Linked DNA regions of Mus musculus. The protein of the gene in region 1 interacts with the protein of each later gene in a pairwise test. Links are inferred from orthologs where the notes say so. Each region holds a gene or a part of one and is shown in the gene's direction. Other genes may lie near its edges.

Region 1 (4,121 bases):
CCTGCAGAAGCCCAGAGATTCCCACAACCCTCTACAGGCAGTGATTTGCAGAGAGAGGGAGCTGTGGGGGTAGAAGGCTGGTTCTGGGGCTGCATGGGGGATTTCAAGTCTTTGTTTCAATCAGGAAGACCCGTCCCAAAACTTCCCAGTGTCTCTTTTGCTGTATTTGTAGGTTTTTGTTTTGTTTTGTTTTGTTTTGTTTTTGAGGTGGAGTTTCACTATATTGTCCTCCTGCCTCAGTTTCCTGGGACGCTAGACTAACAACAGGTATGCCACAGGCAAGCACCACTACCCCAGGCCTTTCTGGGGTAAGAAGGGTTTGTGCATGCTGTGGTGGAGGACATCCTGGACAGGGACCTACCACCCAGAGATGCCCCAGCCCATATAAGACCCTCTGAGTCTGGGAATTAGTTTTCTCCTTTCCCCTGGTCTCTGGGATGCAATCTAGGGTCTCTCACATTGCTAGGCAAGTGCTCTGTCATTGAGCTGCAATGCACTCCCTGCTGGTCACTTGGCTAGAGTTCACAGGACAGGGTGTTCCCTAAGGGCCTTTTCAGATCATTGGTTGGTGCTTCCACTGATTAATTCTGCAGAGACCTCCTACCGCATAAATGCTCTCACCTCCACAGAAGCAGCCCCTGGCCACAACTGCAAAGGGGGATCAACCGGTCCTCCCGAAGAAAGCAGCAGAGCCTGTAAATTGAGGCTACTAATTTGGAAGTTATGTCCTCCTGTGCAACTTGGCGCCGGTAGGAAGTATAAGTAACGAACACAGATGAGTTTAGGTAATTTCCTCCTCGACGTGTTGGTGTCCGAGGCGGATACAGCTAGGGCCACCTTACCCTTCGGGTTATACCCGTGACCTTGAGTATGTTTAACCAGCCGAGTGGCTGGACGCTGGCCCTGGCTAGTAAACCACGCCCGCGGCCTACGCACGCTTGTGAAACTTGAAACCCGAAACTGCCCTGCCCCGAGGAGAGGGGGCGGTACCTAAGGAGAGAGGGCGTGACTTGGGGGCGGAGTCATAGATAGGCAGAGCCTAGGTGCCGCGCTTGCGTAAACGCAAACTAAAGAGGTCCTCAAGGGGACGGGGCCTAGAGGGCGTTCACGCACGCGCGTTTTGGCTGTGGGCGGGACCTTGTGCCGGGGGCGGTGCCTCGGGCGGCGCGTGCGCAGGCGCGTGCTGGGCAGTGCGGGCGCGGTGCGGGGGGCGGGGCTCCGCGGCTCGGAGCTGGCCTGTGGCGAGCTGGTGTCTGGCAGGACGCGGGCTGCGGGAGGTCAGTGGCGGTCGCGGGCCGGAGCCGGTCGCCAGCACCATGGAGGACGATGACAGCTATGGTGAGTGGGGCCGGTCCGCTGCCCCTTCGTGAGCTTCCGCCTGCGCCGGTGTCCCTGGGACGGGACGCGGAGCGCCGGGTGGCGGCAGTGCGAGGGCCCGGGGGTGACTGCCCAGACGCTCGAGGGCCTGAGGGTCGCCGGGGCTGAGGGTCGCCTGGACCTTTGGGTCGCCGTGAACTGAGAGTCACCCGGGCCTGAGGGTCGCTGGGAACTGAGTGTCACTCGAGCCTGAGGGTTGCCGGGGCTGTGGGTCACCCAGGCCTGGAGGGTCACGGCAGGGGTCGCCCGAACCTGAGGGCGCCGACGGAGACGGGTGTAAAACCGGGAATTGCTTTCGGGCTCCAGGACCGAGGTTACTCGGGCCTGGGGGTCGCTGGGGCTGAGGTTTGCGAGTCTAGGGGCCCCGGAAGGGGAGTCGCCGGGGTTAGAGGGTCTCCGCGGCGGGGGTTAACCGGAGCGCTGAGGGTCATGAGGATGCTGAGGAGCCCCGGGGTGCCGAGGGGAGTCAGGGCCAGGTGACCGGGGTCGTAGTCTTTAAGACGAGTCGCCTGCTGCTTGTCACCGGGGTGGCAGACGCCGCGAGCGGCCGCGGGACTAACACGCCCGGCCGGCCTGTGTTCCCTAGTAGTTTCCGGCTCTCAGGGGTGTTAGAAGTTATGTGCCCCATCCAGCTCTTTGTTCTGAGATGAACACAAGTGGCCTGACCGGGGCCTCTGAGCCGGGGACGTCGGTCAGGTTCGTGCTACCGTCGCATTGTGAATTAGCTCCTGGTCCCCTGGTCTGTCAGTCAGGGCCTGACCACACCGGGCAAGGGGATCAAGTTTGAGCTGTTGCCTGAAGGTAGCCGGGTAATGACACCAGTCCACATCCTCCACCAGGGCAGAAGCGATTTAGACTCTCCTGGCTAACCTTGCTGCTTGTTGGCGAACAGCCAGGGCTCTGGTCCCTCCGAGGGTGTGCAGTCTCTGGAGTTGTAGAAGGTTATTTGAAATGCTTTACGTGGTTGTTAGCATTGTTTCCAGGAGGAATGGAAGAAGGAATGGCAGGTAGGGCGAGTGGTGACCTTTTACTGGTTTGGCAGGGAAGTATGGCTCAGGAACTTAACAAGCTTATACGGCTTAGTGGAGCCAAACTCCGGTGTGTTGCCTCACAGGTAACTTTGCCTCCTCACACTCTGGTGAGGAATATTAAAGTACCAAGAGGGAAGAGTGTTAGGGCTTTGCAGGGGAGCCCTTAGAGAACCCTGACCCGGTGAAGCCATGAGGATTATGGCTAACAACTCCCAGAGCTTCAGATGTGTGAACACTGACTGTTTCCTTGAATGTTAGAGGTCTGTGCCTTCCTGTTCAGTGGAAGAAGCCGGCTTTTGCTACCTTCCAGGTAAACATGGTGTGTGCCTTCCTTTGTGATAGAAAAGCAGTCACCTGCAGGCAGGCCCCGAGGGATTGCTCGGCCCCCTTGGACCCTCAGGGTTTTTTTCTTCGGTTGGAAACCTTCACTGGCTTTCCCCACTGCTCTTTTCTCTCCCCCTTGTCCTTTGTTGTCCCCTGGGTGCCAGGGTTCTGCCAAGCTTTGTTCTTACCCTCCCCTGGTTATTGCCCGCTGGGTGAGGCAAGAGCTGCTGTTCTGGTTGGTTTAATAGTGACTTCTTTGACTCAGGCATGACTTGTACTAGGGAAGGAAAAATGGAAGGCTTTGGTTCCTGTTACTGCCAGGAATAGAGGGACTCAAACCCAAATTTACTCTGTAGATCTGGAGGTGAGAGTCCAAATTAGGTCACACTGGGCTGATACCAAGATTTTGTTAGGGTAGTGTTCCTGCCAGAGACTGGAGGGAAAAGTCGGCCTCCTTTCCTTTCCTAGCTCCAGAGGATGCTTCGCTTCCCTTGGAATCCATCCTTAAAGCCAGTGGATAGCATCTCTCCACTTTGTCTAATTGCTGCCCTTTCACAGGACACTTGTGTGTCACACCTACCTAGATAACTCAGGATAAGGATCGTAGTAGCCATCCACAAACCCAGCTTCCCTTTTGCCATGTGAGTAAACACTTTTAAAGACTTGAGGATTGTGATGTTCACATCTTTAACTTTTTAAAATTTTATTTATTTATTTATTTATTTATTTATTGCGCGTGGAGGTTATGAGACAGGAGTGGGTTCTCTGCTTCCACTCTGCCAGTCCTGGGATGAAACTTAGGTTGCTAGACTTAACACCAAGCGCTTTTGAACCCACTGGGACATCTCATCATCCCAGATGTGGGCATTCGTGCAAGCTTTCAAGAGAGCGGCATGGGAGGATGAAAAGGAAGCTCATTGCCCCCTTTATACACTTTTACGTCTTTTTACTTGGGAGGATCTAGAGGGGTTAAATACAAGAGAACTCCTCGAGTATCATATAGTATAAAATGGCCATGTGGAGACTGAGACCAGCTTTCCTTCTCTTTCTCCCTCTCTCCTTCCCTCTTTCCTTCTTTCCTTCCTTCCCTTCTTCTCCTTGTCTCCTCTCTTCTCCCCCTTCTCTTGATCTCCTCTTTCCATTTTGAGTTAGGGGAGCATCTCCCTATGATTCCATGGGTCTGGCCTCAAACTGGTAGGTTTAAGTGATCTTCCTGCCTCGGCCTTCTGAGTAGCTGGCACTGTGTTGATTCTGTGTCTGACTGAGCCTCCCAGTTTGAGTATCAGACTATAGAGAGAATGTACTTGTTCCAGTCTCCACATGTTAAGAGGACACGTGTGCTGGGGATTTGTGAAGCACGCAGGCATGCTCAGAGCGTCCAGTATTTTC
Region 2 (3,647 bases), on another chromosome or scaffold:
AATTTCATGTCTTCTGACAAATATCTATCCCAAAGTCTATTCAACTTTGTATCTTATAGTCTTTTATTTTTTTCTGTCTTCTAAAGTTCCTTTATAGTCTTAATTATTATTTAGGCATTGATTAACAGTTTAGAGACTTGGTTTTCACTTTATACTAGACAAGTTTGAAACACACACACACACACACACACACACACACACACAGAGAGAGAGAGAGAGAGAGAGAGAGAGAGAGAGAGATTATTTTTTAATTAATTAATTAATTAATTTTTAATTGGGTATTTATTTCATTTACATTTCCAATGCTATCCCAAAAGTCCCCCACATGCTCCCCCACCCACTCCCACTTCTTGGCCCTGGCATTCCCCTGTACTGAGGCAGATAAAGTTTGCACGACCAATGGGCCAGAGAGAGAGATTCTTGAAACCTTATTCAACTTCCTGCTTTTCATAGACGTGGAGTGTTTCAGAAGCCTTTGCTGAACTACTGAAGGTTTCTGAACAGCCCAGCATACAGTTTTCACATGGACAGGAATAGTCTTAAGTAGATCTAATATCAGGAGCTACATTGGTACACATTTTTTGAGGGACTAGAGGTCTTCATTCATCTGCTTTTTCCTAGAACTAGAGGAAGTACTCAGGACACGGGGGTCTATAAAGCAATTGCTCTTCCATCCGGATTTATCAGCAGCGAAAGACAAAACAACCCAGTTGTAGCAGAAAGGAAGCATGATGTAGATGTAAACTGGCTGTGCTTGGCTTCATAGATCAAATGGAGGCAGAACAGTCTCTTTCTACATTGTCAACCAAAGCCACAGGAGAACAGAGTAAAGAGAACTAACACAGGATGCCTTTTGGAGGACTTGGCAACCTGTACCTTTTTTTTTTTTTTAAATAGACTCACATTCTCAGTTATGGTTTTCTGAGCACACTAGCTGTCCAAGCAATGAGAAACAGGTGGGCAGGAGAGAATGTGACTCATACTTCCGTTTGGGGAACCCATTTGTGGGTTATAAAGCACTGACAGGAAAACTTGGCCAAGCAGCTAGAATTCTGAGGAGAGAGGTGCTTTCTAAGCACAGCAGCATCCTAAAACATTCAGCCATTCTCAGAGGAAATTTGGGATATTGAGACTGGAAGGTATAATTGGTTCCATAAACCTTTTATAAGCACATGTTCTGGTTTGTAGCTGTTTTCCCCATATAAGTTAGATAGCTTTATAATAAGCTTCCGATTCTTTACAGAGACAGATCATAAGAACCAGAGAAGAACTTTCTGAGCATCTATTTTGACCTCCCTTCTGTGAGCATTTTCATAAAAGTTTCCGGGGTTACACAATTTAAGACATTAGCACTTGGAGGTTCACAGAGTCACACTGTCTCAGTGTCATTTGCATTGAACTGATTTCAAGTCAAGTACAGTCCTCTCTGCCACTAAGATAAGTCAGCTTACAAAAAATAAAAGTTTTATTTGATTCAGTGTTCAAAGGTTTCAGTCCATAATAAACTGGCTTGGGCCTGTGATAGTACATCGTGGCAGAAACACTCAGCAGACTAAAATTGCTGTTAGTGGCTAGAGAGTGAGGGAAAACGGAGCAAGAAACAGAAGTTTTAATCCAAGACTAAATTTTCCCGGGAGGTAGCAACTTTTAAAATTTTCACCATCTCCCAGTAGCATCTCCATGCAAACCTTCTGGAGTACATTCTAGATCCAAGCTATGGGCATGGATTATCTTGCTTAAATGTATTCTAAGTTATAATTTTCATGACCTTCTTATAGCTAGTCCATGGGTGCTAGCTTGGTTAACCCTCCTAACTTTATTTGTGCAAGTGAAAACTTGGGCCAGAGAATATGTCCTTCCTCTCTTGAGTTCTTTGAAGTTGGGTGTGCTTTCTTGTAGGGACTGCTGGTTGAATTCAACTCACAATAGACTCTTCTCTGTATTGTAGGAGACACAGCAAACTCCCCAAATTTGGAAAACATGGACCTCGACGAGTCGTCCTTGTTTGGAAATCTGCTGGGGCCGAGTCCAGCCCTCCTGGACCGGCATCGACTGTCCAGTGAGAGCAGTTGTAAGAGTTGGCTGAGCTCCCTCACAGTGGACAGTGAGGACGGCTACCGGAGCAGTATGTCTGAGGACTCCATCCGGGGTGCCTTCAGCCGGCAGACCAGCACCGACGATGAGTGCTTTCACTCTAAGGATGGAGACGAGATTCTGCGGAATGCTTCTTCCAGGAGAAACCGGAGCATCAGTGTCACTAGTAGTGGGTCCTTTTCTCCCTTGTGGGAGAGCAATTACTCAAGCGTGTTTGGGACCCTGCCCCGGAAAAGCAGACGGGGTAGTGTCCGGAAACAAATTTTGAAATTCATCCCTGGCCTTCATCGTGCAGTGGAAGAGGAAGAGAGTCGCTTTTGATGGGCTGCTGCAGACCTTTTGAATTGGCTTGTTTCACAATCCTCTCTCTACCCGCCAAGATGAACCCCTGGCTTAGTGGGAAAGTACAGATAGACTGTGAAGCTCACATCCCATCTCACAGCAGCAGTGACCTTTAAGTTCTTATATTGTTATTTTTGGGGTCTTATATCAGAGGTTTGTTTTTGTTCGTTTGTTTGTTTCAATCAGTAGTGTTCAACTTCTAAACAGACATCACAAGAGGAAAGTAATAGGTTAAATAATGTAATAATATGTCTGCTCATTCTAATGCTGGCCAGGAAAGTACAAAAATATTTATTATACTGACCATGCATGTAAAAAGTGGAGAATTCTTAGATCAAGTAAGAATATAGACCGACAGAATATAATTATTGGGTTGCTTTTAATATGTTAATTTGATAGACTACAAAACCTCCTATTTGCTTCATTTACTCTGTAGCCTCTGGGAGCTTGCCCAAGAGAGAATTAAAATTGTTTTCAAACCATTAAAGGATCATAAAACATAGCATCATACGCATCTTCTCACTTCAGCAGTGACAGTGAGGCGGGAGAGATGCCTAGTATTGGTGCAGAGGAGAGCTCTTGGTGCTGGGATCCTATGCCACTCCCCACTCCATCTCTAAACAGAGTGAGTGAGACTCTCATTATTTTCGCCCATTTCAATTTTTATTTTCTGCCTGAACATTCATGCCAAGGCCAGAAATCTCAGGATCAAATCTATAGATCTGTGATTGTATTTTCTGCAAATGTCTAAAATTCTAAAAATGAGAATGGGGAAGGAACATTTCTTCTGTATGTTTATCTCCTGCTACACCTCATTAAACATTCCACATAGGTATCACCTCAGCTCGAAGTTCCTTGTTAGCTGTGCTTGTATTGTACTCTCACCTGTCAATCATGCTCTATGTTATTTCAACATCCATTAAACTCTGTTCTGGTGATACAGCTGTTCATTACCTGTATGCTCAAGTAAATAACCATGTGATAAAGACTTAGGTTGATTCCAAGCACACTCTCTCCCTCCACCCTTTCGGGGTGTGTGTGTGTGTGTGTGTGTGTGTGTGTGTGTGTATGTGTTTGTGTGTCTTCAACAGAGCTGATACATTTAAGTGAATTTCTAGTTGGTCTATAGAAAGCAATTTTGATTTTTAAAAAAGTGAAGTAAAGTCTGTAGGATAATAAGTAGTAAAATTTATCTAAGTGGGACCTGCTGC
Region 3 (3,647 bases), on another chromosome or scaffold:
CCTGGGACAGGGAGATATGGAGACAGTCAGAGCTAAGATGGGTTCCAGTGGCCCAAATCCTCCACCCTGCCTTGCTATATAGTCTGTTAATTCAGAAAGCTGGGGAGGACATCCTGTCTTCCCTTAAGTGGGGAGGAGAAGTGGGCTTCATTTAAAACCTCTGGGTCTTTGATGGGCATGGTGCACGTGACTTTAATCCCAGTACTCCAGAGGCAGAGGCAATGGAGCTCTGTAAATTTGAGGTCAGCCTGGCCTACAGAGCGATTTCCATGACAGTGAGAGCTATACAGGGAAATTTTGTCTCAGAAAAACTAAAATGTAAAATAAAATAGACAAAATCTCTGGGCTCTAGAGGTTATCTTTCTGAGGTCACAGGCCACTTTTAGAAGGGTCAGAAATGAGGCTACATGGAGCCCGTACCCACAGGTTGGGGTAGCCCTAGAATGGTGTCATATCTACCACAGAGCCTCAGTGTGGACGTTGGGCTTCAGGAAGCAAAGATGGTGTCAGGGGCCACCAGTATTCTGAGGCCACAACACAGCACTAAGAGTCATCCTGAAAGCAGTGGCCTGACACCCCAGTCCCCATCTCCACTCAGCCTATGTAGTAGCTCAGCCCTGCCCTGCAGAGGAGCTGGTCACGGCTTGGGGAAGTTGATTTTGTTTCTGTTAACACAGCCTCTGGTGCTGGCATCTCTTTCTGCCTGCCTGCCACAGTTTCTCATGTCATAGGAAGTCAGACCCAGGAGGCACCCCACTCAGAATATTCTAGGCCTCTGTGGGCTGAGTGCTGGCCACTCTGGCTACTTCCGGGGAAGGAGGGTGGCAGCAAGGATCTGGGAGAATCTGTATTTACCAGTGCCCAGCTGTAAGGAAGAAGGTCACAACCCAGGCCTCTCAGCACGCCCAGACCCACCTAGCCCCTACCCCCAACTTCCCATTATTTCAAGGCTGGCAATGCCATTGATTGTAAGCAAGACATGGTGCAGTAGCTACGGAAACAGGGCATCAGGTGGCCAGCAGTAGGGTTGTCCAGACTTTGAGTGAGCTCCAGGAAGCCTATTGTCCCCTGTCTGGGACAGGAACTCCAATGTCCCCAGCTGTAGCCCCTCTAGAGCAAGAATAAAATTGGTGCTTCAAAGAGTGCCTGAGACAACCAGAGACTTGCAGTCTCTGTGAGCCAGCTCAGTCCTGCCCCGACAAGAACTCCAAGTTCATGGCTCTGCCTGGGCCCGGTTCTGCTGTCTGGGTCAACCAGGTCTGGGGATCTAAGCTTACTGTGGTCTTTGAATGTACAGGTGCCATAGCCCTGAGCAGCGCGGGCCAATGCACTTGTGGGATGGAAATGGGCCTGCCTGTGTGGCATGTCTGTCTGTCTGTCTGTCTGTCTGTCTGTCTATTTGTCTGTCTGTCTGCCTGTCTATCTATCTATCTATCTATCTATCTATCTATCTCTATCACATCTATCTATCTATCTATCTATCTATCTATCCCTTCCCCCAACTCCCTATATATGTGTGTGCATACCTGTGGAATCCCCACAGAGGCTGGCTGCCTGTTCTTCCAGGTACTTGACCACCTGAGCCAGTCAGTATTCAGGCCCCCATATCCCTCCCTGAGGTAGCTGGGTGACATCTGTGCTGGCCCTGGCTGATTCTCATACCCTATGGCAGCAGGCCAGCAAGGAGGACCTCACTCCTCAGGTGATCAGCCTGGAGTCACCTGCTCCTTCTCTCCACAGGACATGCTGGGCCCACACTCACTGCTGCTTGCCCTAGCTGGACTGTTCTTCCTGGGATCTGGTGAGTTCTGCGGAGCTGCCCCTACACGTGACATTCCTTGACAGTGGGCCCACCTCACGTCTCCTTGGGCATATGTCCCCTTGGGCATACGTCCCCAGGTGGTTGAGGAAGGACCAGCCTTTGAGAGTAGAGTCTCAGGCATGGATGATGGCTTTGGTTGCCTTGTAACAGGAGGCGGGGGGTCTGACCTCTAGAGCTTTGCTTTGAATTCCATTGGGGTGACTCAGAGCCCTTCCCAGACCCCAGTAAGGCCACAGGCACTAGCCTGTACCCTCCCCAGTGCCCCGTCCATCTCTGCACCCCATTCATTCATGAAGACAGTCAGTCGGGGTGGATGTGGGGCCCTCAGTCAGCCCTGTCTGTCTCCCCAGCTGTGTCCCAGGAATGCACCAAGTACAAAGTCAGCAGTTGCCGGGACTGTATCCAGTCGGGGCCTGGCTGTTCCTGGTGCCAGAAGCTGGTAAGAGCTGCGTGGGTCACCTGACAGAGTCTAAGCTGCCCTTCCTTCCCACTGGCCTAGGTAGGAACCTTTGCTTCTCTGAAGCCAGGGTCACTAGGAGGATCTCCTTAGTACATAGCAGAAATGGCTCAGTAAAGAAGTTTCCAAATGGGATATAAATATACCATGGTAACCCAAGTTGACCCCAGGTACATAGGGAGGGACAGTCACATTTCACGATATAAGTCAAGAGCAGAGGGAGGCAAAGGCCCCCGGTCAGGCATGGCAGAGACTCTTCATCTTTGAATCACAGTCCTCGGGACAGCTTGCCCCTCCTCCTATAGAAGGCTCCTCCCCTGGGACTAAATCTCATTATGGATAGGATTGGTCATGAGCCACCACGTGGTTGTGGGATTTGAACTCAGGACTTTCGGGAGAGCAGTCAGTTCTCTTAACAGCTGAGCCATCTCTCTCCAGCCCGGGACTAAATCTTATCACAGCCTTCTCCTGGGGTCCCCAAGCTGCTGACCACGCAAGGAAGTGCACCCATTACTCTTTCTTCTCAGTTACCTAATCCTTCCTGGCGGAAGCTACAGCCAGCCAGCCCCTGTGCATCTTTCTCCATAGGTCTTTTAGGAATAGGTTATTAGCTTACAAAACCCAGTAAATGTGTTTTGATAAAAAATTGTACTGTCTTAGTTACTTTTCTGTTGCTATCATAAAAATACCCTGAGGAGAGCAACTTAAGGAAGGCAGGGTTCACTACAGTCTGTCATGGTGGGGGAAGTCAAGGCGGCGGGGGTGTGGGCAGCTGGTCACTTCTTATCCACAGTCACGAAGCAAAGTGCTGAATGTTCATGTTCGACTGCTTTGCTTAACACCATTCAGTCCAGGACCTAAACCCACCTAATCCACAGAGGAGCTCTTCCTGATTCAGTGAACCTAATCAATTACTCACCAGTGTGCCCACACGGGGGCGCTCTTCCTGATTCAGTGAGCCTAATCAGTAAGATTCCTCACCAGTGTGCCCAGAGGCGGGGTGATTTCTGATCCTGTCAGGTTGATAGTCAACCCTGACCATCATTTTGTGTGTGTGTGTGTGTGTGTGTGTGTGTGTGTGTGTGTGTGTGTTTTCACAGGTGCTGAGTTTGATCCTGTTATCGAGCTTGGGAGATTGGACATATCAACCCAACAGGCCCAACCCAATGTGCCAGATTTTCACATTTTTCCTCACTGGTGTAGTCTCAGATCACACAGGAGGCCGCTTTACACACCTTACTTCCAGAAACTTCCCAGCCTTCTTCCTCTTCCTGTCCTTGTCATTTTAGGGTGAGAGGAGCCACCAGTGTAGAATATCCCTTGGTGTCTCCATCCCAATGTGTCCTCTGATTCAGCTCTAGTGTACAC

What was found.
Region 2: the proteins of Cyth1 (region 1) and Cytip interact in binary tests that used the Homo sapiens proteins (3 or more experiments, as listed by UniProt). The link is inferred for Mus musculus from reciprocal best matches to the Homo sapiens genes CYTH1 and CYTIP.
Region 3: the proteins of Cyth1 (region 1) and Itgb2 interact in a two-hybrid assay, tested with the Homo sapiens proteins (2 studies listed by BioGRID). The link is inferred for Mus musculus from reciprocal best matches to the Homo sapiens genes CYTH1 and ITGB2.

The regions. Positions count from the first base shown.
Region 1 is NC_000077.6:118,245,656-118,249,776, reverse strand, and holds the start of Cyth1 (cytohesin-1), read left to right. Parts: upstream 1-1,218; 5' UTR 1,219-1,316; coding exon 1,317-1,338; intron 1,339-4,121. UniProt on the Homo sapiens protein: Promotes guanine-nucleotide exchange on ARF1, ARF5 and ARF6. Promotes the activation of ARF factors through replacement of GDP with GTP.
Region 2 is NC_000068.7:58,132,495-58,136,141, reverse strand, and holds part of Cytip (cytohesin-interacting protein), read left to right. Parts: intron 1-1,948; coding exon 1,949-2,415; 3' UTR 2,416-3,647. UniProt on the Homo sapiens protein: By its binding to cytohesin-1 (CYTH1), it modifies activation of ARFs by CYTH1 and its precise function may be to sequester CYTH1 in the cytoplasm.
Region 3 is NC_000076.6:77,540,226-77,543,872, forward strand, and holds part of Itgb2 (integrin beta-2 isoform 1 precursor), read left to right. Parts: intron 1-1,740; 5' UTR 1,741-1,743; coding exon 1,744-1,801; intron 1,802-2,172; coding exon 2,173-2,261; exon of another isoform or gene 2,262-2,321; intron 2,322-3,647.